Linked DNA regions of Nothobranchius furzeri. The protein of the gene in region 1 purifies or fractionates together with the protein of each later gene. This does not show direct contact. Links are inferred from orthologs where the notes say so. Each region holds a gene or a part of one and is shown in the gene's direction. Other genes may lie near its edges.

Region 1 (5,870 bases):
TCTAAACAAGACGGAACGTATTAGTGCTTCCTGTAAATTACTCCAAAATGGAACATACCACTGAAAAATTACTCATTTTAAAATATCGTCACCTGCATAGTCAGTATGACGGGAAGCTAAAATGTTTTCACTTATACCTTAACTACTAAAACTCTTTACATCTATTTAAATTATCTGTTTAACAAGATTAAATCGATGAGCTATGACATTAACCTTCAGCTCAACGTACATTTCCGATCATACGCCCTCTGGCGGCCAAAGGGCTGAACTGAATCCACGCTAGACTTACAGGGATTTTACGTTTAATAAATTAATGTGTGAACAACTCAAATAAATAAAATAAAAGTAACCAGTAAGACAATATATTTTTACTGTATTGTGTCTAAATAAACTTTTAATTTAATTACTTGTAATCTTTCATTTGATTTGATTGATGGACATGTACTGTCTATATATCTGTTTTATTTATGTCAACTGGATGAAAGCACGAGAACTCAATCCTTCAGTTTCTGGCTTTTGAGAATATGGATTTTTTTCCGCCCTCTAGTGGACACAAGTTGTTAAAGCTCATAAATCTGAACAAGACATAACTTATTAGTGCTTCCTGTAGATATTTCAAAATAAAACATACTGTGGCGGTTATTGGCAGTAACATTGAAACTAACAGTCTTTACGTTATTGTGTCACTAATTGCACAATTTCAATTGAATTTATGTAACTGTTAAACACAATGGTTGTGTGGAGTCAAAGTGCTAAACCCAGCTAGTGACAGTGCAACTAACTCATTTAATTTCCTTCTTGCCACAAAAAAATAAATACAATTTTATAGATATGTGTGTGTGTGTGTGTGTGTGTGTGTGTGTGTGTGTGTGTGTGTGTGTGTGTGTGTGTGTGTGTGTGTGTGTGTGTGTGTGTGTGTGTGTGTGTGTGTAGACAACAGATTTGTCAAAGTCAGCTGTTTGATTACCTCACCAGACTTTTTAACACAAGATAGCAGGAAATGTGTATTTGCTGTTTATAAAATTAATAACGACAGCACATAATTCCATTCAGTCAGACCCTGCATTGTGCACACGGCCCACTGGTCAAGAAGAGGCTGCTCTAATGTCATTAGCTGCACCTGTTCCTGCAACAACTAAATGTCTGCTAAAAGGTCAAAGAACTAATGACGCAAAGCAGTCTGGCCATTTGAACACGATGTAAACTGAGATTGCTCTGTGGTTAAATGTGTTAAACAAAATAATCAGTCAGTGTTAAAGGCTTGTAATCTTGATACCACTTCAACACCTCATGCATAGGTTTGGGTACCATTTCATAAAACTCAGAGGGTTAAAAAAACTCTGATTTAAAATATTTTCTATCTTGTTATTTTCTTCCTTTTTGTTTTTAATTCATTCTGCAAAAATCAGCCAGAGCTACTTTTTTATTGTAGTTTTGTGTATATACTGGACTTCTAAGTTTGGTCAACAAAGAAATGTTTTGGTAACTGTCGACATATTGGCAAACCTATTCAACCCGCACCCTTTGAGGTGTTTCATTGAAAATTTGGAGTCGGTTTCATTCATTCAATTTTCTGTGCACCCACGTTGTCACTCAGCTTAGTTTCCACCGGAGGGCGCTGCACGCCACTTTATTCAGTTGGGTTCCTTTCTGGCAGAAGTGTTTAAATGTTTAATTATAGGCTACAGAAGAAACATCGCAAAACAAACAAACAAACAAAAAAAATTCTGAACTGGATTTTTTTTTACCACGAGGAGGAAATCGATGTAATATGTAAAGTATAAATCTTTACTAATGTTAACTCTTCTAGCAGTACTATATTTATTAATTTTTTAGATATTTCGGCTTTTTTATGTTTTTATGGCAAGTATCCTTGATCAACTGCTGTGATCACATTTCATGCTCAGAATTTGTGTTAAAAATGAAATTTGATATACATAGAAATTTTAAATCCGTTTTAAATACAGCCCATAGTTTTAGTGTCATTTGTTTGCATTTAACAGCAAAACAATCACCAATCATATACATCTAGACACGTTGAAACTGACTTTTCTCTCACTGAAAGGGTGCATTAATACTCAATTTCTCTACTTTTATACTTGTGTTTTTATTGTGTGCTTTTGCATTATAAAAAATCGTGTTTGATTAAAGTCTGAGCAAGTGAATAAGTTACAGGTTTTCGACAACATTTTAAGTAAAAAAAAATTCGAATTATTTTAAAAAGAAAATATGCATGTCTGTAAAATGTGGGATTTTGTCCTTTTTTTCGCGCGTTTGAGCCTTCCGGCGCACCGTAGCAGTGATGTGGCTCAGTGAGCAGTCTTCCACGTTACTAGGAAGTACCCGAGAGCCGACGGGGTAGCCCTAACACCAGGAGCTCTTCTAGTTCTTTTACTCATGCTAATATTTGAAGTTGGGAATTGAAGGCGACCGTTTGGGATAAAAGCCGTGTTTTAGGTAAGTCCTGGAGCATATTATTTTCTAACGTGAGTGGATTTATCCAGTTTTTGCTACCAGCGTTAGCAACTATCAAACGTCCTCCATTTCATTGCAAACCTGGATGAAAGCTAAAGCTACTGTTGGCTAACGGTGGCTGTTTAGCTTCCCATTTTATTTCATTATCAGCCGTGTAGACGACAAAACTAGTTTTTATTATTATTTTTTTTTACAATTCTGTCATGTGCCGCCCATCTACGTTTAGACATTCAACGCAAAGGCGATGACATTTGTGCTTAGCTACGTACTAGCTTATTTCGCTATAGCTGTAACAGCTGCTTAATTATCGTTATTTGTTACAAAACTACTGTCAAAATTAAGTGTTTAAATCATGTGGTAAGAGGCATATGATCATAAAAAATAGCATCTACCTGTGTAACTACAGCGATGACAGGTGCCCTGTAACAAACTTTAAATTTCTCATCTTTTTACAGCTGTAGGTTTTGTCATTGCCAGTTTGATCACTACAGCAAAATGTTTAAACTCTCTCATCGACTGTTTAGCAGAAATTTAAAACTTAAAGGCAACAGTCAATGTGTGAAAATCAAGGTTTGTGAATGAAGTCTTGATCAAGATGAAAACATAAATTGCACCACCTCAAGTTGTATATTTCTAATATAAACCTCTCAGTTAGATAGATTTAGCATTGAACCAGCAACCCTCCAAATAAAGCAGCCTGGCCAATTGCTACACCAATTTTAATGAAGGCTATTGATTTAATTCAATGTGTTAGTCTTTTTTGTTCATTAGGTTTCTTGCAGAAACAATGAAAAAAGTTAACTGAGGAGTTTTATACTTTTTTAAAGGTGCATTATATAGAAATTAAGTGTAGTAAAATTTGGTTACTGAAACCACTTAAAACAACTCTGGAGCTTTTTGCCGGCCGTCGTCAAATTATAATTGTCGGCGCTGCAGTATTAGCTCGCAGGAGACACAGCAACCCCACACTCACTGATGGTAAACAGTAGGGATGGACAATGTATTGATATCGGTATCGGCCGATGTTAGTCATTTTTAACATATCGTATCGGTCCGATTAAAAAAAAGAAAAAACGGGCCAATATTATCAACCAATATTTTTTCCATCTTGTCTCCATTTGTTTGCCTGTTTCAGAGGGTGAGGGGGGTGATGTGTGATTGTTTAGTCATGTGAACTGTGAATGAAATCATCTCGGAAGTGTAAATGTGTGTGTTGTGTGTTCATAATAACCTAAATTCAGCTTTAATAATTTTCATTCTATACAAAATCTGCTGATTTTAGAAGCATTGATGTCAGTGTGTCGGTATCTGCAAATATTGGTTTTTGGCCAGAACAGTGATCTTGATATTGGTATTGGCCCAAAAATGTCATATCGGTGCATTACTAGTAAACAGTAGTAACGTCCCTCCTTCCTTTGTTTTGAAAGGAGGAAAACTGACAATTCCTGCAGCCAGCTGGATATGAAACATGTTTCAGTATAACCTTCCGTCCAAAATCACTGAAACTTTAAACTCTTTTGGGATTTTCTCACTGCAAAATTCTCACTATATTCTTACATACTGCACCTTTAACTTCAAAGTGATTGCTTCTCTTATTGATTTGTTTAAATGTGACGAATGTGATGTGTTTTTGTTTCCTCACGTTGTTTCCAGCCTCTGTGTAGATGTCTTTATACTTATTTCCAACATCTTTTGTCATTCAGCATTTGTTTTATCAGCCATTTTTTAACATTTATTTTCCATATTTGCAGGTATTACACTGAAGGGAACTTTACTGGGATTCTTCTAAATCCACCCCGTCCAACAGGCAGCAAAAATGACGGCTGCAGAAAACGTTTGTTACACACTGATCAATGTTCAGTCGGACTCTGAGCCTCCTTCTGAAGTCAGCTTAAAAACAGATCTGGGTAAAATTTCTTCTTGAGATTTTACAAAACGATTTCCTTGTTAACTGTAGTAAAGATGTAAACTTTTGTAATAATTTCTGATTGTGTATAAAGTAATAATTTAACTGGGATCAAAGATTGGATCTATTCAAAACATTTTAAAACTCGTCTTCATGTAAAATGTTAGCTGAAGGCAGGTGTCGTCAGGTAGAGATTTGAACAAATGAAATGTTTTGACATAATTCTAATGTCTTCCAGAAAAGGGAGAGATCAAAGCAAAGACCGAAGCCCTGAAGAAGGTCATAATCATGATCTTGAACGGTGAGAAGTTGCCTGGACTGCTCATGACTATAATTCGCTTCGTGCTGCCACTTCAAGACCACACCATCAAGAAGCTTCTCCTTGTTTTCTGGGAGATTGTTCCTAAGACGACTCCAGATGGCAAGCTGCTTCAGGAGATGATTCTTGTCTGTGATGCTTACAGGAAGGTAAGCTGGGGAATTGTTTTTATTTTCCACATCATTTTCAGCTGGAATAATAGCTGAACAGCTAAAATGATACGTTTGTTCTCAGTACTCTTATTAAAACAAGATTGCAATAATCGTTTCTTTTTTTATTTTAGGACCTTCAGCATCCCAATGAGTTCATCCGCGGCTCCACTCTGCGTTTCCTGTGCAAGCTGAAGGAGTCTGAGCTACTTGAGCCTCTCATGCCAGCGATCCGGGCCTGCCTGGAGCACCGTCACAGCTACGTGCGCAGAAATGCAGTCCTGGCCATCTACACCATCTACAGGTACCGATATTTTCCTGTCTTGTAATCTTCTGCCAGTGCAGATCAATAATCAGCTTTTTTATTTTAGGAACTTTGAGCATCTCATCCCAGACGCTCCAGAATTGATTCATGATTTCCTCGTGAATGAGAAGGACGCCAGCTGTAAGAGAAACGCCTTCATGATGCTGATTCATGCAGATCAGGTTGGTGGACCACTGAGCTTTAGGGGTGGGAGTTTTTAGGCCTGTCGTGATTTGGTTCAATCAGGACTCAGAGGGTTGTAACGCAGTTATGAAACTATTATTACTGAATCTAGATTTTTATTCAGAAACGTTTACATCTGCTTCACGGTGCATTTAAAAATAGATTCTCCTCCCTTAGTCCTTATAACATCCGTCTAACGAATTGTTAGCTCAACTGTGTAACCCCCCCCACAGGATCGCGCTCTGGATTACCTCAGCACATGCATTGACCAGGTTCACACTTTTGGTGACATCTTGCAGCTCGTCATCGTTGAGCTGATTTACAAGGTGAGTGGGCATTTTACTAGACTAAGTCAGGCCTTTAGGGCAAAGTAGCAAACAGATTTAACATTTGAGTTCTTGTGCTCTTTGGCTAGGTTTGCCACGCTAACCCCTCGGAGCGTGCTCGATTTATTCGTTGCATCTATAACCTGCTTCAGTCCTCAAGTCCAGCTGTTAAATATGAGGCTGCTGGTACTCTTGTGACCCTGTCCAG
Region 2 (6,041 bases), on another chromosome or scaffold:
GCTTGAAGTTGTATTCCTCGTGTTCCTTGGGGCTAGAAACAACTTTACTTGAAAAACAGAGCAAGCACATTGGTTGGCAACAGCCTACAGTTGACGCACACAGGCTTAAATCCTCCTAATGGAACCAGACGTCTATACAAGACGGTGTTAAATCTGAGCCTACCATTCCCAAAACATGGTTTGTTTCATGTTTACATCATCCATGAGAGATAGAACATTTCCAAGCTTTTATTATGTCCTTTAAAGATAGAGGAATTATGGCACATTTGGTTTAATTTTATCCTTCAGAAAAACTTTATCAGACATGAGTGGAAAAACCACTTCACTACCAGACAAAATGGGGTTTGTGCAGAAGGTTTTGGTATTGTAAAAGGGATTTTTCTTTCGGAGTCAACTTCTGGGAAGAAGAAAAAAAAGAGTGGATGAGTTTGATTAAAAAAAAGTAGCTTTGTTGTGATCTGAAAGGTTCAAAAAGATGTTTTTCTAGCTCAACATTCACCATGCAGTGCAAAGAGACAGAGGGTAAATCATAACTGGGTTTTCCTGATGCTTTCATGGCGGTAGCAACGCTCCGAAAGTGAGACAATTGAGGAACCTGAACATGCAGCATCATTCTAATGAATGTCTCAATAAGACGCAGGGTTATCTCAAGATGTTCTGATCTTGATAACATTTTGCAACAGTAGGTTGCATCGCTGGATTATTTTTCATTTATTTTTTGAATTTTCTGTAACCCCAAATTATTAAAATTACATTAGACAAACAGAAAAATACACTGTCATATGACAATTTATTATCTAGTTGTGTGCTAATGTTTTGTGTCAGTGTGTGTGTATGCATTTGTGCATGTGCCTCATGTATGTTCATAGCATGCGAAGGCTGGTTGGTAATGCACACGCAGAGAGGGAAGGCAGGGAAAGGAGGATGTTGGCTGGCGGAAGCTCTGCTTGATGCTGATAAAAGGAGCTCTTGGTTCTGAGAAAGGGAACTGCTAACTGCTGTGGTTGCTGCCAGAAGCTCATTGTACAGCTTCACAACCCCTCATCCTCTCCACCAGCCACAGTTATACTGTCTGAAATCATCTCAAACTCATATATATGTTTGAAAAATGACGTGACATCTGGGAACCAACTTCAGGGCGGCTTCCTCCTCGGTTTGGGGATTTTGAAATAGCTGTGATATTGTGCAACATTTCATGATTTTACAGTTCTGTTACAAATGTGTACAAACTAAGTTTGGATCTTCTAATTCCTCTCTACAAGCCAAGAGATCTCTTTCCATGATTATTTTGGAACTCAAGAGTAACAGAAGGTAACTGTAAGGCCACACAATGATGTAATTTGTGGATTGAGATAGAGGGAAATCCCCATCAGACTGCTTTTCCAAAAGTTTCCCAGAAGTGGGAAGTAAGATAATTGGAGGTGGTTAAATGTGGGAGGATCCTGTAAAAAAAGATGCTGATGAGAACGAGAAACATAAAACGGGTTGTAAATGGAGAGATTGCTCGTATGATGTTTTTCAATGCAGCAACCGCTGTGTGACACAGAGCTTCAGCTAATGAGTGGAGGAACCTTTAATTTTAAAGACAAAAGTTTTAGTTAGATATTGTTCTAATGATGCTTGAAAGGGTTCCTATGGACATCAAAAAGAAGGATTAGGTTCTAATTTTCTGGTTTAACAAAAGCAAGGAAATAAGATCATGATGTTAGAAAAACATATTTAGCTTTTTACGTTACAGAAATCAAGTTTGTGAAAACTTGATGAAAGAAAAAAGTTCAGTCTGAAATGCTAAACTTATAACTTTGTTGCAAAGCTACAGAATTGCATTTAATTTTTTAAACACTATCCTCCATTTACAAAAAGCAACAAAGTCAACAATGTTAAAGGTGAAACAATTTTAGTAAGCTTGTTAAACGGTGCTTATTGAGTGACAGTAAAATAAAATGCAGATTTGGATTTACGTTTATCATTTTGTGTCACATCATTGCAAAGTAAATGTTATGAAAGATTTTAAGACTTTAAAGTGACTTTCTTTTATTTTCCGTTATGTGACTTTTCAGCTTTTCGATTTATGGAGAAGAGGACAGCTATGGTTGCACCCTTTTCTGTAAAACCACATCCTTTTTTATATTGTTCATCAAAACATTAAACACGTTGCTCTTTAGTCTGCATTAGATGCATTGATGTACTCGAAGTTGCTACTAAATTGGGTACTATTATTTTGAATTAAAATGTTTTTATTTTTGATTGATAGTTTGATTGTAATAATCCAACACTGTATTCACAAATGCAGATTTTTATTTATGATTATTACAAAATGTACTAACTGGAATAATAACATAAGTGCATTTACAAAGTCCCTGAAACTGGTCAAGAATTAGTCAGTCATTTCTTTTGTCCACAGTTTGAAATATTTAATCTAAAATATTCAAATGTTCAATTTAAACACAAAGGCTATTCAGATTTGTTTTATGTTTTTATAACATTTATTTTTGTGCTTATTTTTCCCCAAATTTTTTTAACATTGAAGTTTATAATTTTATAAATTTTTGTTGTTCAAACTCCGTTCAATCTGTGCAGTTTTCAGGTAAAAAAAAAATTCACACATGATGAAGACTGTTTTGTCTATAAAGTTGTTAATAAAGTTTGTTTAAAAAAAGTCAACAGTGACGTAATCCTTGCTCTTACGCACGACGTAAGATGCTGGAATTGATTGTAGGCTAGTGTTAGCCGTGTAGCTGGTTTGCCAACAAGAAAGAAAATGGACTCGCCTATCCTGGTAATATCTAATTTATTTTTTCATGACGGCATAATGTTAGTGAAGCGTTTAACCTCGTAGTGTAAACATTTTTTTAAATTGTCTTCATAATTTAGGCGAAATGCTGCTTATTTAGCATCCTCCCGAGTTAACTTGACAGAGAGCTAACTACAGTGTTAGCTAACTAGTTAGCGTCGAGGAAGTATGTGTCCGTTTGTTGCTGATGTGGAAGTGTCATGTCCTCCACCTGACATGAACAAGAATACCGTCATGACAACATTTTTACAACCGTTTTTGATACATGTCTTAAGACTAAACGATCCTATTATGGCCTAATCACGGCCATTTTTCTTAAACTATCCTTCTTACTACAAACCTTAATTTCTAGTCCTTTATGTTTGTTTAAACACAACGCACTGTACTGCTGTCTTCACAGGAACCCTCTTTGTATACGGTCAAAGCTGTTCTGATTCTGGACAATGACGGAGACAGGCTTTATGCCAAGGTATGACTTTAATCCTGATTCATCTTTTTTACTTTAAATATTTTCTTCAAACACGCAAAGTCTGATTTAATGTCAATATTACAGCTTTTCACTTGGATTAGATCCCCCCAAAAGCAATAAGTTAATTATTCAACACACCTGATACATTTTCATAAATTTTTCATGACCTATTTAATAATAATAGATTTGAGCTGTACACAAACAGTTTTTAGATGTATTTGAAGGTGGTGATTGCAAAGCACTAAAAAAAAACACAGGAGTCTTTTGTGTAATTAGATAGAGAAATTTAATTAGACAAATTACAGGCGTTATTCCTTGGTCTGTTGGTCTGTTTAAAATTTAAGGTGTTCCTGATTTATATGGTTAACTATTTTAATTTTAATTTAATGTATTCATTTTTAAAATGTATCTTATTTACTTTTTATTGCTAAAAATGGTCAAAGCTGATGGCTCCTACCCCCACACCTTAAAGTTTTGTTTAAAAACAAGTTTATTTTTACTGACTCAGTATAATTCACATTATTCAATCCTTGTAATTTTATATCATAATTTTAAATATTGTTAATCATAGAAGCAAAGTTTTAAATGTAAAACTATGTTACTAGGTTTTAAATATGTTTGCTTCCGTAGTAGAAACCGTTTGGCTAACCCCGGCTTTCCACGGGAGCCGTCAGCAGCACGTTACTGCAGCAGCACGTCATAGCTGCTGATAGGAACCGCTGTGGTCAACAGAACCTTTTCCACCGGAGCCGCCGGCAGCCGTCAGCAGCGCGAGTCGGCCGCGTCTCAGGAGCAGCATGTCGCGGCCTTTACGCGCCGGTTCTATTTTCTACGCGCGACGCCTCTGAAACGGGTCAAGTTCGACATTTTTGGGGAAGGAAAGACAGGAAATCGAACGCGGAAATGGGGAGAAGCTCTCGAGATTTTCAGAATAAAGAACGTACTGCCTTCCGGTTGCTTTACTTTTAAAAACAGTTACTAACTGTGCGTCCCCGTGAGAAGTTATCACACAGCTAGTGGTCTCCTTTGTTTTTCAGGTCCGTATTGGCGATTATAAAACGGACAGAACATAAAACACAAACCATGTTGTAGTTTTCTCCTGCTTGTTGTTGTGTTTACTGACGAAGTCACTCGTGTGACTTCGTGCTCGGTCGGTGACAGCTGCTCCCCTGCTGCTTCGCGTCTCGTGGGAAGGGCCAAGCAGCAGCTTACGCGAGCAAGACGTGCTGCTGCAGTAACGTGCTGCTGACGGCTCCCGTGGAAACCCGGGGTTAGTGTCACAGAATCGATAGGGAAGTCAGACCTTTTAGAAACTTAATGTTTCCTATTTTAATGAAGAATATTTTACGTACCACATTATTTATATACTTTAATGTAAAATAATAGATTTATTTGAATTGTTTTAAAATGTACTTTTCTTCTTGGTGTGTCTGCAGTATTATGACGACACATATCCGACGGTGAAGGAGCAAAAGGCGTTTGAGAAGAACATATTCAACAAAACACACAGAACAGACAGTAAGCTAAGCATATTAAAGGTAATTGGTTTGCTTCAGTACATGACTAAAATGTGATGGTATTATTTGTTTGTTTGTAGGTGAGATTGCATTACTGGAAGGCCTAACTGTTGTCTACAAGAGCAATATAGATCTCTTCTTTTATGTCATCGGAAGTTCACATGAAAATGAGGTAAAACTGAAAGAACTTTCATGAAAAGTCAGCCTTTTCTTAATTATAGCAGATAAAACAGTCACATTTTAACTGCTAATATTTTCACATAATTACTATTTGTTGAAATTTGTTCTTTTTCAATAGCTTATGCTCATGGCTGTTCTAAACTGCCTATTTGATTCCCTCAGTCAGATGTTGAGGTATGTCTTGGTAGCAGTTTAGCACAAAATGTCAAATGTTTATAAACCATTAATCTCTCAGATTGGGATTGAGTTATTTCTCTTTAATTTTACAGAAAAAATGTTGAGAGGAGAGCTCTGTTGGAGAATATGGAGGGACTCTTCTTGGCTGTGGATGAAATAGTGGATGGGGGGTGAGTTTGAACCACCAATGATCTTTAACTAAAAACTTTTTCTTTATACTTACTGTGGTGTTTTGGGTTACTTACAGCGTGGTCCTGGAGAGCGACCCGCAGCAGGTTGTGCATCGCGTGGCTCTTCGAGTGAGTATTTCTCATCACAAATGTTCAACACGGTGTGAAAGTGTTGATGTGTGTGTGTGCGCACGCTGTAAACCTGTTGTAATACTTGTTCTTGTAGGGTGATGATGTACCACTGACAGAGCAGACAGTCACCCAGGTAAGAAAAAACCTCTACACTGATTCTGTCTTTATAATAAAGTTTAAAAGATCCATTAGTTTATTGATTGTTAAGTCTTTACCTCAGAGTGTAAAAGCTGTTATTGCATCATTCTCCTGTTTTTACTTTCTCACTCGCCTTCAGGTTGTCAAATAGTGTGTGTGAGTGTGTGATAACTAATTATTTGGTGGATAGCCAGTAGTGGTCCTTGTCTTTTCATTTTCACTCAGGCCCATCTCTCTCTCCCGGAGTGTGTGTGAGAGAGAGCGAGTGTGAGCTCCTCTTGATTAATGTTGTCATTTAAGAGGTCTGAAACTGCCCATCGCCATTTCTCCTATGGCCATGATTAATATCTGTGTCCAGTCTCTGTTTTATGGTTATGATTTGGCTTTCACTCAATCAATTAGAATGATTAATTAGACCTAGACTATTTATCTTCAATTATATCACTATGGTCATTTTTAAAAGC

Evidence for each region. The genes of interacting proteins can lie anywhere in the genome.
Region 2: the proteins of copb1 (region 1) and copz1 fractionate together in Homo sapiens (co-fractionation; 8 studies listed by BioGRID and IntAct, with this or other methods). This does not show direct contact. The link is inferred for Nothobranchius furzeri from reciprocal best matches to the Homo sapiens genes COPB1 and COPZ1.

What each region holds. Positions count from the first base shown.
Region 1 is NC_091749.1:61,890,684-61,896,553, reverse strand, and holds the start of copb1 (coatomer subunit beta), read left to right. Parts: upstream 1-2,300; 5' UTR 2,301-2,457; intron 2,458-4,226; 5' UTR 4,227-4,291; coding exon 4,292-4,382; intron 4,383-4,619; coding exon 4,620-4,849; intron 4,850-4,983; coding exon 4,984-5,153; intron 5,154-5,220; coding exon 5,221-5,335; intron 5,336-5,569; coding exon 5,570-5,662; intron 5,663-5,751; coding exon 5,752-5,870. UniProt on the Homo sapiens protein: The coatomer is a cytosolic protein complex that binds to dilysine motifs and reversibly associates with Golgi non-clathrin-coated vesicles, which further mediate biosynthetic protein transport from the ER, via the Golgi up to the trans Golgi network.
Region 2 is NC_091755.1:25,754,395-25,760,435, reverse strand, and holds the start of copz1 (coatomer subunit zeta-1), read left to right. Parts: upstream 1-2,648; 5' UTR 2,649-2,761; coding exon 2,762-2,779; intron 2,780-3,194; coding exon 3,195-3,263; intron 3,264-4,699; coding exon 4,700-4,781; intron 4,782-4,860; coding exon 4,861-4,952; intron 4,953-5,078; coding exon 5,079-5,134; intron 5,135-5,229; coding exon 5,230-5,307; intron 5,308-5,384; coding exon 5,385-5,436; intron 5,437-5,533; coding exon 5,534-5,572; intron 5,573-6,041. UniProt on the Homo sapiens protein: The coatomer is a cytosolic protein complex that binds to dilysine motifs and reversibly associates with Golgi non-clathrin-coated vesicles, which further mediate biosynthetic protein transport from the ER, via the Golgi up to the trans Golgi network.